Linked DNA regions of Stegostoma tigrinum. The protein of the gene in region 1 interacts with the protein of each later gene in a biochemical or structural test. Links are inferred from orthologs where the notes say so. Each region holds a gene or a part of one and is shown in the gene's direction. Other genes may lie near its edges.

The links. The genes of interacting proteins can lie anywhere in the genome.
Region 2: the proteins of fibroblast growth factor receptor 2-like (region 1) and fgf7 form a complex in vitro, tested with the Homo sapiens proteins (3 studies listed by BioGRID). The link is inferred for Stegostoma tigrinum from reciprocal best matches to the Homo sapiens genes FGFR2 and FGF7.

The regions. Positions count from the first base shown.
Region 1 is NC_081373.1:27,242,981-27,251,032, reverse strand, and holds the start of fibroblast growth factor receptor 2-like, read left to right. Parts: upstream 1-4,788; 5' UTR 4,789-5,329; coding exon 5,330-5,355; exon of another isoform or gene 5,356-5,387; intron 5,388-7,127; coding exon 7,128-7,363; intron 7,364-8,052. UniProt on the Homo sapiens protein: Tyrosine-protein kinase that acts as a cell-surface receptor for fibroblast growth factors and plays an essential role in the regulation of cell proliferation, differentiation, migration and apoptosis, and in the regulation of embryonic development.
Region 2 is NC_081386.1:18,434,740-18,442,199, forward strand, and holds the start of fgf7 (fibroblast growth factor 7), read left to right. Parts: upstream 1-4,460; 5' UTR 4,461-4,636; intron 4,637-5,236; 5' UTR 5,237-5,558; coding exon 5,559-5,847; intron 5,848-7,460. UniProt on the Homo sapiens protein: Plays an important role in the regulation of embryonic development, cell proliferation and cell differentiation. Required for normal branching morphogenesis. Growth factor active on keratinocytes.

The DNA.
Region 1 (8,052 bases):
AGTGCTCAGATTTTGTTCAGCTAAAACAATATGAACTTTGTTACCACCAAATTTTTTCTGTTCTGTGCTCAAAATTGTAAATAATATAAAGCCTGATCAATTTGAGGAGATATAGTTGGAGAGGTAATAATCTGAAAAAATGAGAGAAGAATTATGTTGCTAGAAATAGTATCAATAAACCGCATCCTTAAACAGCATAACAACTTGGGATTGGTAGTGTGACTGACCCCATTTCAGATACCCTCCATTCTGTACGTAGGTTGTTTCGAAAACACAATTGGACTTTAGTTGCCTATCTCCTAAAGTCTCGCTTTTTTCGTTGTTTTGTTTTATGCTGTAATGGACCTCCTAGTCCATTAGAAACTGTTATGTTCCTAAAAAATATTGTTTACTCCTGCACGAATGATCCTTAACCTCCTTCAAAATAATTCAGATCATTAGAAAATTAACAAAACCTAACACTTTTTTTGTAAAATCGAGTATAAGTTTTCTGCTAGTTTTGTCACTTAATTTAGTTGTATGAATTGAAGCTTTACTTTCAGTACAATTTGGTTGGGCCGAATTGCCAGTTTGTGATGTATATTGTCTCTGGTACTGTAAAATAAGCTCAACAATCGTGTGTATTGTTCCCAATTCTACTAAGTACAGAAGAATTTATGGAATTGCATAATAATGTAAGCATGCAGCTGTCTCTTTATCATTTGTAAATTAGGCGCCTTTTGAGGTGTGGTGACTTTAAAATAAGGATTTCTTCAGGATAATGAGATAAGATAACTCCGCCTTCAGACATCTACCACAGAGGGAGCTATCGGTGTTTAATATGTAAGGGTAGAGTCAACATTTTTGTGGTTTCAGTCATACTTCTGTAGGTGTTTATGGCATTGTTTCAAAACTGCACAGGAGGGGGAGAAAATGATTCCAATGCACTCGGGATGTCAGTCAAACAGATGGGCAAGTTTCAAGAGCGAGAGTTAAATCAAGTGGAACAACCATTTATGTTATGAACCAGTAATACGTTTCAGACAGCTCCAGTGCAGTAATTTTTGGTTTATAATTCTAAAATACATCATGTGTGGTGATTTTTTTTTCTAAATGAGTGGAATTGAAAAATGCTGCGCTTTTTTCATTGTTTTGTTTTATGCTGTAAAATACTGGATACTGAATTTTCACGGTCTAGATTTAGAGAATTCTTCAATGTGCTTCTGTTAGGGGAGAAATGGTTACTGGAAATTATCATTAGAAGTTTGGGCAGTGACACTCTACTGTGGCAGAACAAGAAACCCAGTGCAGCCTTTGCCTGAATTTGCACTAAACCAATGGCACAAGCAGAGTCCCCAGGTAGTGTGAAATCAGAAAGATTACACAGTGTTTTTCAGGCAATGGGCAAGACCATGATTGGGCACAATTTGTAGGACTGAACATGTCTGTGTGCTACCTGGTGCCAAGAGAATTCGGGCAGATCTGTCTAATTTTGCGGTGCTGCGATCTGTGGATTTCTGAATTCTAATCGAACAATGAAGAAGCAGCCTCTAATGGCAGAATTGAGTACAGCAACAGAACAATTTATATTTTCCATTGATTTCTAATTATTTAAAATGTCAAGTTCATCAAACATGAATCCAGAAATAATGTGACAGCCAATTATCTTGTGCCAGCCTGTCAGTACGTCGAATTTGTCAAGCACAACTGAATGTATCTGCATTCGCTGATCACGATTCCCATACAATCTCATGATCTTATTGCTGCTCTCTGAAAAAATGAGTGAGCAGAAGCCACCTACTTCCTAGCAGAGATGAAAGGAAGAAGAACAGGCAGGCATTTCAAGTTAATCTATTCTCCTTTATCACTCAGTATGAGTTTGAACAGAGCTCATCCCTGAATCCAGCCATTTGGGGTAGATAATGCATGACATATTTTACATGCTGCACTTTATTACAAGTAACTAATGTTCACTGTCTAAGACTGGCATGTGCTGTCTTTTATAAACCTGTAGCTTTCATCCTGTAATTTACTTCACTCGTTATAAGCACTATCACTACTAATTTGTGTAGTTAGTTTATTATGACAGTTACAGTGCTTTTCAGTAACTAAGAACTGTTTCAGATATGTATATCTTCTGATTGGTTTTGGACTAGGATATCTCCAAAGGACTTTTGAGATTAGAGGCTCCCTGTGTAACAGTTCCAAAACCACAGCATGCTCAAGACAAATGAACCGTATTTAGAAATAGTTTACATTTTAAAAGCTCCTCCCTTTTTTGTTTTTTCTCGCTCCCATACTGTCAAAGTGTACTTTGAAGTAATTAATAGCAGTTTGAAAGACACAGTACTTATTCTGTGTGAGAACAGTCTCTGTTCAGACGTTCTGGCACCATTGTCTAAATGAGTATTCTAAAGTAGCTTGTCTATTTGGATAATGTAGTGGCAGATTCTGCTGCTGTTAGCTTGTAGCTGAGAAAAAAATGAGTATTCGGAAGACTTCAGCGTAAGGTACTATATAATACAATTATGCTTCTTAAGGCACTTCATAAACTGAATTTTTGATTCACAGTATCATAAATTTGTTCTATGATTGTATTAGAAATGCAAGACTTTATTTGTAAAATGAATATTTATGCTTTTCATTTGTTTAACATTTTAATATTAATTTCCTTGTAAAGTGATCTAGGAAAGTCTCAGGTCAAAATCTGATTTACGTTGAAATAAATTACAGTCAATTGTTGTTGGAAACTGTCTCATTGGTCTCCATATCTCTGGATCATGGAAGGCCAAATAAGCAGCTATTATTTGTGCTCATGATCAGTGCTCAATTACTTTTACCATTATCTTTAGTAATGTTCATCTGTTGAAGCTTGGTGAGAGTAGAATTGGGCTCAACTGTGATACTTCTGATGGTTGAACAGTTTGCCAATGCTTAATGTCAACTCTCATGGTAAACAAGTGACACTTTGGACGAAGTAATTGGTCAATAGGAGAAAGTTCACTTTTGAAGCATGATCCAAATTTTTCATCAGAAGAAGTAATAAAATTGGAGGGTAAATTGTCCAGTGTTTCTTGGTAAACGTTACAATGGCCATGTATGCATCTTGATAAAGGGCATTTGTAAATGTAATTCTAACAGGAATGAGGGATTAATTGTGTTCTCTCGCTTAAAAATGAATAACTAATATAACATTTTTATTGTATTGAGATAAAACCTATTCTTTCCTACCGTATCAGAGTTTTTCTGTACTTATTAACAGGCAGCTTTGTTCAACCTATTCTCTGTCCTTAATGTCCTGGCTGCTTATTGATGTTTCAGTATAAAATTCAGAATGGCAGTTTTGTTTTAAAGGAAGTCCCTGAGGTCTTTCAAGGATTTGATATATTGTTGGAGATAGACAAAATAAAATGGACCCCTCTTTTTGAGGGGGGTGTGGGATGCAGATACTTTGAATGGGGTCCTTGTCAATCCCAGCTCTTTTTTGAGACTTGAGGCTATTGTCCTCTTTGCCGGCTGAACTCTGATAGCTTTACTGCCCTTGGTTCCTAGTCTGTTGAGCAGTGTCTATTTGTCCATTCACACTCCACTGGGGGTCTCAATAATAGGCTTATTAGGTTTACCATTCGCATTCAATGGGACCTTGAAGGAGGTCGAAAGCAGCCAATCACTTAACAAAGTCAGTGAATAGATTATGGTTTTATTCAAAAAGATAACTGGCGTGAAGGATCTCCCAAGCTTGCTGTGATAAGCTTTGCCCTCAAAATATCCCATAATGGAATTGTTTACTATGATCATTGTTTTTACTTTCTTTGTTGCAAACACTCCATTTTTTTATATTCCACGTTGTGTAATTGCATTTTATGAAACGCAAGGCATTACTTTAATGGTAAGTCATTTAGCCAAATGAGCTGCTGTTGATTGATTTGCCGTTCTTTCAGCCTAAAGGAGAATACTCCCTGAATTGCTGTTAAAGGAAAAGAATGCTGTCTGCCTTGTCATGGTGCAACCAAAATGCTGCTTTCTAAAGTACGAATAGGTAGATGTTAGTGAATGACCGAGGGTCCCATTCCTTCCTGTGTCTATATTCCATTTTGAATGCAACAGCTATTAATCTTGGAAGCGTTTGCTCATGTTGTAGGGAGTAAACTGAGTTGGGGGACATGCCAGCAAACTGTACGCCAAATTCTACATGCTGTGAACCAGAGGAGTTACAGCCTGGCCCGCAGAGTTAAACATTACTGAAAGCTGATTTGATTGGCAGAGTCCGTTCGCAATGTTTGTTTGATGGAGCTCCGTTCAGGAACAGGTTCAGATTACAAAAAAGGGGAGTGACCTAAGAGGGGAGAGAGGGGGGAAGAAAAGCTTTACATGCATCAGAAGGCTTTTGAGTTTGCAGCGAACTTGTGAATGAAGTATATCCAGCAGAACCAGGGTCGCAGTATCTGCTTTTATTCTGTAACGTTGCCGCCTTTGTTTTCTCCCAGACGCACCAGCAAGACAAATGTAATCGCTTGTGATTTAGATTACTTTTTAATAAGAAAAGAACTTGCTTAGAGAAATGGACACTCTCTGCATTGTGCCAGAACCGCATGTTGGATCCGTGGGTTTGGGTCATGTTTTCACTGATCCTAAATAATCGAGTTTTCCTCAGAAACAGTTGGATCTAAGTAGTCCAGGCACAGCTTTGTTTCTAAAGGACTACCCAAGGCATCCCGCAATCCTTACTTTAATTCATCTTGTGCGCACGCCTGCTGCGGGGAGCGTGGGTCATATTCTTGCTGTGGTAGTAAAGGTAATTCTACCAAGCAGTGTTGGATTCCAGACAATTATTGTATGCCAAAAAATTGCACTTGAATGTAATCTGTTTGAAATCAAAAATTCTTATTTCATGTTTTATTTGAATGCTACATTTTAGTGGCCTTAAGGGACAGAACAAGGAAAACGAGTTGAGGCTGAAAAATAATGAAATAACTGTGTGATAACTTATTTGATGTTAAATTACATTAGTCACTAGAACAAGTGCTGACTTGCTTACTATGCACTGAGGTTTTTTTTAAATTTGGCTCGCAGGAATGCAGTACTTGTCTCATTTCTAGCAGCCTTTTCCCCATGTTTAGAATGAATTGGGCAGGTATGTGATGAGGTGAAAATGGCTTGAAGAGCGGGTGGCAGAGGCTATCAATCAGATTAGTTGACAGCTCCTCCCCAATGTAGTCAGTGGAGGGAGACAAAGTTCCCTTTCAAAAAAAACTCTAGCTTTCACTGTGTGAGGAACTCCGTGCCGGATTGCTTGTATTTCTGTACTACTGCAAGGAGCCAATATGTGAATACTCAAGAGAAAAATTGCATGCTCAATGCTGTGATCGACTCGAGGTATTTCTTCAGACCAGCACGTCATTTTAAACGTAATTTTCTTTTTACTTCTCACAGTGTGTTGTATCTTTGAAATTGTTCCACATGTTCATGTCTTCAAGTAAGGAAAAACTTAAGTTTTTATACCCTGATGCAATTTATACAATTGAGCTGGCCTTGTATTATTTAACAGCATGCTTTGATGTCACTTTCAATAGAAGGACTATAAATTGTTACTTCTGAGATGAGGAAAAAATCTGTAGTTAGCTACAATCCCAAGTCTGCTGACAATGCAATGGTGTGAAAAGTTAGACCAGTGTGGAATGAATTCTAGGTTGTAGAAAGACCAGCTGACAGCCTGTCAACCTGTATGTTTTCCAGAAAATACATTTGGGCGTAAAACCACATTAAATTTTTTGCCATTTCTATCATTCGAATTATGTCTGTTACAAGGGATTACAATTTTAATTGTGTGACACTGTTCTAAATTTACCTGTGAATCATTCCAGTTTTGCACTGAGTGCATTAAAATAAGATGAATATTTAAAACACTTTCAAAAAAAGTTAACAATTTATTTTGGAAAGAAATTGTTTCTTTTTCAAGTTAAGGTTGTGATCCATTAGGAAGCTCTGTTCTGTCTAAGATTGTGAAGTGTCAAGTGTTTTACAGTTAGATGTTACTTTAATTAGTATACTGATTTGCAATTTTGGATTGTCTGCACTGTGTGGTTGTCAAAATGCAAATCAAAAGTGTTCAGGGATTTTAAGTCCACTGAACTGAAAGACCGTTTTGAACTAGAAGTAACTTAATCAGAGATCACCAGTGGGGAACTTCATAGAGTTGTGCAGTATGAACAAATTTAATTTTCATTAATTTCAGCTGTTGCTGGCAGGTCACTTTAGAAGAAAGCCAGAACTGGAATTGTATTTCATTCAAACTCTTCAATCAAACATAGGTAATATAATTTGTCATTGAAAGGGTTAAATGGAGTTCATGTAATTCTTTTTTATATCGTTGAGATTGGAGCCAGATATCACTCGTCAGAGGCGTTTATTCTCAAACATTGGTTTTATTTTCATCGGTTGTTTTTCCAATTATGTAAGGCTGCTGTGTTGATGTGTTTTGACCTGTGTGTTGACTCAGGTCAGAATGTGTATTCCTCAGGTTGTGCAGCTTTGTTTGCCATTACAATCTCACATGCCTTGTACTGGAGGACAGTTCTGCCCATTGAGTGATACTGGGTCCCTTTGTATTTGCATCTTTAATACCATCTGGAAGAAAAAACGTGAACACGTATCCATTCATTTTACAAGTATAATTGCCAGGAAGGTTTTTTCTTGCTTTTTTTTAGTGCAGCAGTTCTAACCTCACTTTCCAATAAGATCTTAAAAATCCTCATTGCAGAAGAAGTGCGAGGGAAATTGAATGAAGACAACTGAAGTACTGATTATGAATTCTTTTCACTGTCTTTTTAATCGTCCTGACACATTTCATCATAACATACCTCATGAATATTCAACCTTTCTAAGTTTGATACAATGGGAAAATGAGAAACTAAAGATTACCCGCAACTTAAATGATATACAGGGCTGATGAAGTAATTTTTTTTGCGAGTAGGTCCTTTAGTATGTTTGTTACTGCAAATTTTAACCAATGGTTTTTGTACCAGTGAGCAGTGCTGTCACAGTTTAAAACTAACATGATTTTCACTTTTTGAACTGCAAGTATCCACTTTGAATTGAAATAAGCTTTCACGGTCATTCTCCTAACAGGCTAATTCTTCTTTCTGCAGCTTTTCAAGTGAGGAGCCACACAGTAAAGAAGAGGACATTCGTCTTTCATGCCTATACACAAGAATTCAGATGGGATTAGAGTCCAGATGGAGTTCCAGCGGCGGTCTAAGGATCTTCACTAAAAGGATGCCTAGTTGTTGTTACTTTGTCTGCTGGGCCATGTTAACCATGGCAGCACTAGCTGTAGCAAGGCCACAGTTTAAGTCTGCTGATAATGGTGCATCAGAAACTGGAGGTAAGTTAAATTTCATCTATTACACCTTAAATGGTCGTTATTATTACATAAAAGGAATATAAAGGCAGCTGTAATGAAATTTGCCATGTTGCTTTTTTTTTGTTTAACTGGCCTACAGTTAATTAAATTCCAGTATCTTGCTTCCTTTATGTTGGGACAACTGAAGTATTTGAAAATTATTTTACTAGATTAGGTTTTTGAGCATGATCTTTCGCATCTATTTAATGTACGCTTTCTGACATTGGTTTAGTTTTGTAAAGTCCATGCCTTCAAAGTTTCTCTATTCTGAAGTTAGGTTTTGTTTCTTGTAAGACTTCTTAATTTCTTCACAGAAGTCACAAACAAGTATTTAAATACTTAGAACGGGTTTTAAAGTAAAATGCTACACAATGCATTTAGTTATGCTTTCAAATTCAGCTTTTGCTGAGTGACTTCCAGTGATTGAGAAATCATTATGATGTAGCATCTGCAAGGTTTGCTTGAATTACTTATTATTTTGGTAGTCATCTAGAGATTCCATGTGGCCATTCTAGGAAGCTAGTGGTAGATACTGTTGCTTTAGAAATGTTCAAAGACAAAGACTTTGATCTGATAGCAGCAGCGCTTTTTTTTAAATGACGGTATGTCAGGGCTTCTGTCAGTGGTCTCATTTTATTTCACTGGTCTTGGGAGGTTTGCAATTCATTGCC
Region 2 (7,460 bases), on another chromosome or scaffold:
AAAAGCCTTAACCAATGACAGGAAAATGGATAACACTTGGAGAACAATGTTGACTAATATTGAAAATGGTCTCTACAATCATGGACTGAAGTTATTCTCCACCACATTCTGAGTCCAGGCAGCAGGAGAAAAACTCTTGGAGCAATTATCAAACTTTTAACTTTAAGTGTACGGAAATCTATGAAGATTTGCCTTCAGTTATACTGGCACATGTGTGACAACCTGTAATTGACACTATCTTACATTGACAGGAAAGTGCTGGGACGTGGGAAGTCACATCATTACTATAGCATTATCGATTTGCAGTAAAAAAGCCAGTAATATACCAGTAAAGAGAGAAGCACTGATTCTTCACAAATTAGGAAAAACAAGTCCCTTCTCGGCATGAACCTACCCACCTGACTTAAAGAGCTTGTGAAATTGCTCAGTTTTATACAATATAATTAGTCCTGCTGCAATCATTTAATTTTGTAAGTTTGTATGAAAATATACCTATTAATGATATAATTTATGGCCTTGCAATGACAATCTAACGAAGGAGGCCGAGACAGGGAACAATGAAGTTGTAAATTCTTATTCCAGAAAGTAATGCAGTTTTTCGGTTGTGTTTAAAACTTGTTATCTGCCTTGGCAGAAATCTTGGGCATTTCCTGCCATCTCCACTCTTGTTAATGTCACAAGCAAGAGGTTTAAGGATGCAAAGCCTTTTTAACACTCAAGAGTCACTTGTTCACAAGCAATGACAGAGGCTTTTTTTGAGGGTTTTTTTTCAGATAACATTCATAACATTTTGGAATACAGCACTTGAAATAATTTGAGACACTACATGTGCCATGTGCAGCATGCTTAAGCAGAAAAAGATGACTTTGGATATATGTGGGTGGATTTTGCTCCTGAGCTGGGTGGCTTGACTTGAGAAATTTCCTGGCTTGGGGCACTGCTTTAGGAAAAAGTGCCCTAAATGGTCTGATTTTTTGCTCCATGACTGATGCAGGATGGAGTCAGGCCTGGTACCCTGTTTTGTAGAAAGTCACTACATGGGCTGAATTTTGGTTTCTCTCACTTGTGAGTCAAAACCTGAATCTTTACCGTACTATCAAAAGTGCGATCAATCTGAAATGGAACTGGACTTTTGGGTCCAAGTCCTGCCTGTCCTCTTTGACAAAGTCATCATGATTCCAAAAAAGATTTGATGACATGGTTCCCCAAAACTCTTCAACACTCAGATGCTTCTCATGCCCAGGTGCGCACACTAACAGATTGACATCGATTATGATTTCAATAACTACCTTATCTCCGTGTAATGTGTCTCCCAAAATAGCACAAGGCAAAGTAAACAGACTTTGGGTTTTTTATTATTCAGCATTTCTAGTATGTTCCTGTGATAGCAGTTCAATGAGATACTCCCTGGGTGTTTCATATTTTTGGTCATGATGAATGTGATGGTTAGTTCTATAGCTCATAAATCAAGAATTTTTGTATAGTTAACAAATCTACCTTGACATTCGTGCATTAATTTCTTATGGCCCAATATAACACAACACCAATTCTCCGCAAAAATGATGATGACCTCTTATTCTTCCTGTTTGTTTTAATAGCTTTTTCTGACATTTTTCTACTTGCTTCTCTCAGTTAATTTACTTTGGCTTTTCCACACTTTATTCCTCTCGCTGTTTCTCTACATTTTATTTGCCTGCAATTCAATTTATTTCTCTGTTATTTGTTCTGTTTTATTTTTCTCTGTTTATTTAGGAAATAAATCTTTGGGTACAATGTTTATGAGGTCTCAGATTAAACATTCATATTGCAGTGCTATCATCCTATTGATGACTTATCAATCTGTAGTGCAATTATAGTATGATGTCAATGATGAACAGCTACTTCCAATTAATGTTGTTCACCAAGATATTCACCTTTGTAGTCATTTCTGGTCTAACATTAAGTATAGTCAGACATTTATTTTCACAGACCTCTATTTCTCACCTGTATGTAATACTTTTACCCACTGTATTTTCTTCTCTACTGATATTTGGCTCTGTAATCCTACAAGACTTGGCATGCTGTAGTAGTGGTCTGCCTGAATGCTTATTTCCCATTCATTGCTCCGTTCCTCACAGTCCTGCACCTTCTTTTTCATTTGCTGGTTACAGCCTCCTGTTTTCAACTTGAATAAGCAGTAAGCAATAAAACCAGGAAGAAATAGAAATAAGGTAGCTTCCTGTTGCCTTCCTCATGTGAACAAAAAACAAGTCCTCTTCTTGAAGGATTTTCTGCCTGGAAGCAGCCATTGACCTTCAAGATTGCAGCTTCTTTGTCATCATCAGAGAAAATTTGCAGGTTCTGGCCTTAAACAGTGGTTCACAATCCACTGCATATGACACTTAAATTGGCCTGGAGAAATTTACAAAGAGGACTGACTATGCCCCAGGGTGTTGAAGGACTCTTCAGCATGTTATCAAGAGAAAAACGCTTCTGAGTAACAAGACAGAACTCAACCTCGTGGAGAAACACTATGATACAGCGTGATGCAGCCAAAATGTGATGCACTATGAAAATAAGTGATAAGGATCTGGCTTCATGAGTGTAGTTTCCTAAAGTCAGTTTTACATCCTGGAGTTGGGAAACATCTAAACATCAAAAGGCAATGAAGAAACATGAGGCCAACTATCATGCAGTTCCTAGATGCTGCCTTCAGAATTCTGAATAGGTTGATTAAATTGAAAACGCTCTCATAATAAAAAAAACCTTACAATAATTTACAGATTGCTGTTTATGATACAATATGTATTTTAATATTTAACAAACAAAGCTCTTGCATCATTACACTAATACTTGGCGATGACACATTGTAATGAAGGAAAAAGAATGGATAGAGTCTGGAACTTAAAAGAGACAAAGCTGTGATAGATTAGAAATCAAAGAATTCCAGTAGATTCTGAAGCCATGACACCAAACTATTAGACCAGTCAATCAGGAACCATAAATTTTATTCCTGGTCCTGACAAACAAATATCATACTTAGATTTCCCCTAGAGGGCATATTTACTGGGTTGGGTTGACAAAGAAAAGAGGAAAAATGTGACAGAAAAGTGTAACTTATCATATGCTTCATACTACTCTCTGGTAGGTCATGATGGTGTCCCTGGAGATGTTTATGAGCTGATAAATGTCAACTTCTCAGTTTAACACTCTTCCCTGAGGGAGGATGCCAGAGATAGGAAAATACATTAAAATGGAAAGTTTTGCAAGTGTCAAGTGATGAAATGTAATACAAATAAATGCATTTCGATTTTCTAATGAAAACTATACTGGATTCTTTCATAACAAAAACACCTATTTCATGTAGTTATCATGCACAATTTGCATGCCAATCTGTTTTTACAATAATCATTAACATATTAATTAGATTAAATATGTAAAATGAAAGTTGGCTTTTATGCAAGAGAATGATTAGTAATTTGAAACATTGACGCACATAAAATAATACTTATTCAATGAAACTTACTGTACTTTAGAAGCAATTTTGATCTTAGAGGAGCCACATACCCATCAAATGTCCAGAATATTTCAATGCAATAAATAGGTCCACGGATTCCTGCTGTGTGTGAAAGCCTATAACTCACTTATGCATGCAGCAGTTAAAAGTTGTGGGTCCTTCACAATCGTAAAAAAAAGTTCATAACTTATTAGTACCACTGAAGTATCTTTTGTTATCAAAATTTCACATTGTTGGTGGTCACTCAGAATGATGATAGAATTTTCCCTCAGTTTGCAGAATCAGTCCAAGTGGTCATAATGTGAGTCTTTACAAAGGCTTTGAACTCATTAAAAAGCTAGCAAAAAAAAAACTTTTCTTTCCACAGTACCAAAAAAAAAGCCTCATTGAAGTTCATTATTAGCTTTGATACACACTAGGTACATTTGCTGATTACATGAAAAAAGGCGGATTGTATCATAAATGTTTCTGCTGCTATTTCATGTGACACAGCAAAAAAATTTCAAGATGAACATGTCTGGGAAAACAACAATTGGCCAGTTAAATATTTTCAAATGCTTTAATACAGTTATGCATTTCAACCTATCAAGATGTACCAAGATAACATAAACACCCCAAAAACACAATTAATGTGATGGATGACTTGTATTCTATACACCATAGGTTCATTCTTGAATCTTGTTTGTTCCCCAGAACAGAATACATTTGAAGGTGCAGAGCACATTTTTCTACCATGATTGGAGCAGATCTGTATTACCAAACAGAGAATAAAGAATTGTTTAAGAATTAAGAAAGACCTCTGTGAGTTCATAGCTCCCTCTGATGACCATGTGGACATCTAACAAAAGGAACCTCACTTTTTCTTTGTTCGTGTATCCAACTGACAGCTGACTGGCTAAGATCTAATTACTTCCAAGTGAGGTCAGGGAAAGGCATTTATCGAACAGAACTGCACAACAACAGGCTCAAGATGCCCAGAAAATCCCTCTTGTGTTAACACTTGATTTATGGAAACAATTATGATTCTCTTGGAATCTTCCTGGACTAGGCAATTGTCCACAACGACACACAGGCTGATGGTGTGAGGGGGGAAAGCAATGGATTTCTTTTATGCACAGTTTGTCTTCAACAAAAACGAAAGTAAGTTTTATAAACAAATTGTCTTTTATTATGTTACATATACAAAACATTATGGCCATAAGAATTTTTAAAAATTATGCTAGTTCAGATTAAACATGTGTAGTTGAAATTGAGGTAGTTCTGAATGTTTCCAGCCGGTCTAGACGTTGAAACAAGAATGCCGTGTGGGAAGCATGGGACGTTCCATGGAAAGCATTTGGTTCACCACATAAAAAGTGCTGTGATTACTAATGAATGAATGCATGCAAGATGACAAGTGTACAGAAGCTTAGGGAATTGATTATGCAATAGAGTTTAGCAGAGTAGTTAAAACAGCAGTAGACTGCTAGCATAGAATGCATACCATGCTACAAACATCACACTTTTAAAACATACAGTAAAGGACTGAAACTGCAGAATAGAGCAGTCATTAGAAAAGCAAACTACCTACTGTACTTTTTTTGGCTTTACATTTTTTTTCAAACCAGAAACTGGCAATCAGCTAGAATGTTTAAAAAAAATCTTTGGAATACACCTCCAAGCTTGTTGCTATGGTTGTAATTTATTTGTAACAGCTGACTGTAATGGCTTGTTAAAGTTAAGTGATACTTCTGCTTGCAGCTTTATTATCGTCAAACCTCTCTGAACAAAAGGAAGATTCTAATAGTAAGGACGATCAAGACATTCAAGACCACTGCAAACTGATTTGTTTATAGAAGAGAGTGACAGTGCATCAGTTCTCTGAAGAAACCCTGGCTCAGCACCATAAAACTTTTTCAGGAAAGCTTACACATATTCTAAAACTGCAACTGCCACCAATAAAAAGAGTCCCAAGGTTCTGGAGTCCAGGCAGAAGCTGAGACCCCCAAACTAGCAGCATCCGCCTGATTCATACTTTAAATTGCAGTATGTTATTCATGAGAACCCAGAGCAGTGCACTATAATGCGCAAATGGATGCAAACATGGATCCTGCCAACTCTGCTGTACAGACTACACATTCATTGTATCCTTCTAGCAGGGAGTGTGTCTTTTGCTTGCAATGACATGACTCCAGACCAACTAGCTGCGAGCGTGAACTGTTCCTCCAGTCCTGAGCGGCACACCAGAAGTTACGACTACATGGAAGGTGGAGATGTAAGAATAAGGAAACTTTTCTGTCGAACACAGTTCTATCTGAGAATTGATAAAAAGGGCAAAATCAAAGGTACAGCTAATCCTAGCTGCAATTACTGTAAGTATCATTTTAATTAGCTTGGAATGTTACATGTTAAAGGTTTTAGCCAACGAAATGAGTGCGTAATTTCAGGTTTACTGGATCTTAAACAACAAACTTAGAATCTATCCAAAATAGTCTGTGTGCGCTTCAAACATCTGGTGCTCGTTTTTTTTTAAATGTGTAGCTCTTAGCGATATGTAACCAGCATATTTTAGTTCTGCTAATGTATTAAGTTGACAGCTGGTAAACGTTTGCAAAAATTATCCCTTTTATTCAAACTGACAAGGAACAGAGATATCAGATAACACTTTAGGCCAAAGCAAAAATCATTAGTGTTATCTGTTTTTCATGTAAGTTGACATTTGAAAAATAGATTACTGGGAAAATGGGACTCTGTGACATTTCATTACTTCAGCATGCACAGCTTTGAATGCTAGATCTCTTCAGCGGGAAATTTAAAACGATTTGTATGCTAACGCATTGAAACTATGTAACTTCAAAATGAAAGGTTTGAACTTTTTTGATATCCTGAATATAATCCATTTAAAGTAATTTATTGTTACCCACGTTAAATCAAAATTCAAAGGTGCTGTTCCAACTGGGAATTAACTTTAAATAACAACAATTATTTATTTCTAAATATCATTCTGACAATAATGTCTGATATCTGAGGTGGTCACTAGGGGAACATGTCTTAACTACTTCAAAATCTGTTAATTAAAAACATTCGAGTTATTCTTTTCTATTTAATGTTACAGTTGTGGAACTACATCACACAACACAAACAGTGATCACTGCAGAATGGGTGCAGTACTACCCATTCAGCAGCAAGGAGGAGGTATGGTTATATGAAAACATAGTTATGCGTCTAAAGGCTGTAAATTAAACAATGGTTGACAAGCATAATGCAGCAAATCCAAAGCTCCCATACAGTAATTCATAACCCAGGAGCATTAATTCCTTGCCATACCTGTCAAAACAACACTGCATTTCACACATCACTTTACAAGAAAGTTAAAGGAAAGAGTCAAGATGGCTTGTGAGAAAGTAAGGCAAAACCATCTCAGAAGCAGGCAATGTTGATCTAGAAAGATGGAATATAAAGGGGGAAATAAAAAACAACCCAAGGCCCCCCGTATCGCAAAACAGAAAAAAAAAACCTGTCAGTTGATGACATAACTGATTCTTTAAAAGGGAATTTGGACCTAACATGAGACAATTCTTTAAATCAATTTGAAACTCATTAATTTTCGTCCAGTGAAATTACAGATTGTTCTGTATTTTTGCAATTCTTTTTCTTATTACTTTCCCTGTCCCCAACTAACTTGCATCGTGCCAGTCTTGCCAATTATGAGGTTTATTAAATCATGAACGCTCCAAAGATGTCACCAGAACCTTATTTGATCCACTGGAAGATACGCTTGAATATGGTAGTATATTCCATTGCACATTGTTTCCTCTGCTCATAAGTCTAAAACACAAAAATGTCAGATTTTAAAAGAATTGCAAATATTTAAATTTGCACCTCATTTGAAAGTCAAACATCAGCTGAGTGGAAATAATAAAATGTGAGGCTGGATGAACACAGCAGGCCAAGCAGCATCTCAGGAGCACAAAAGCTGACGTTA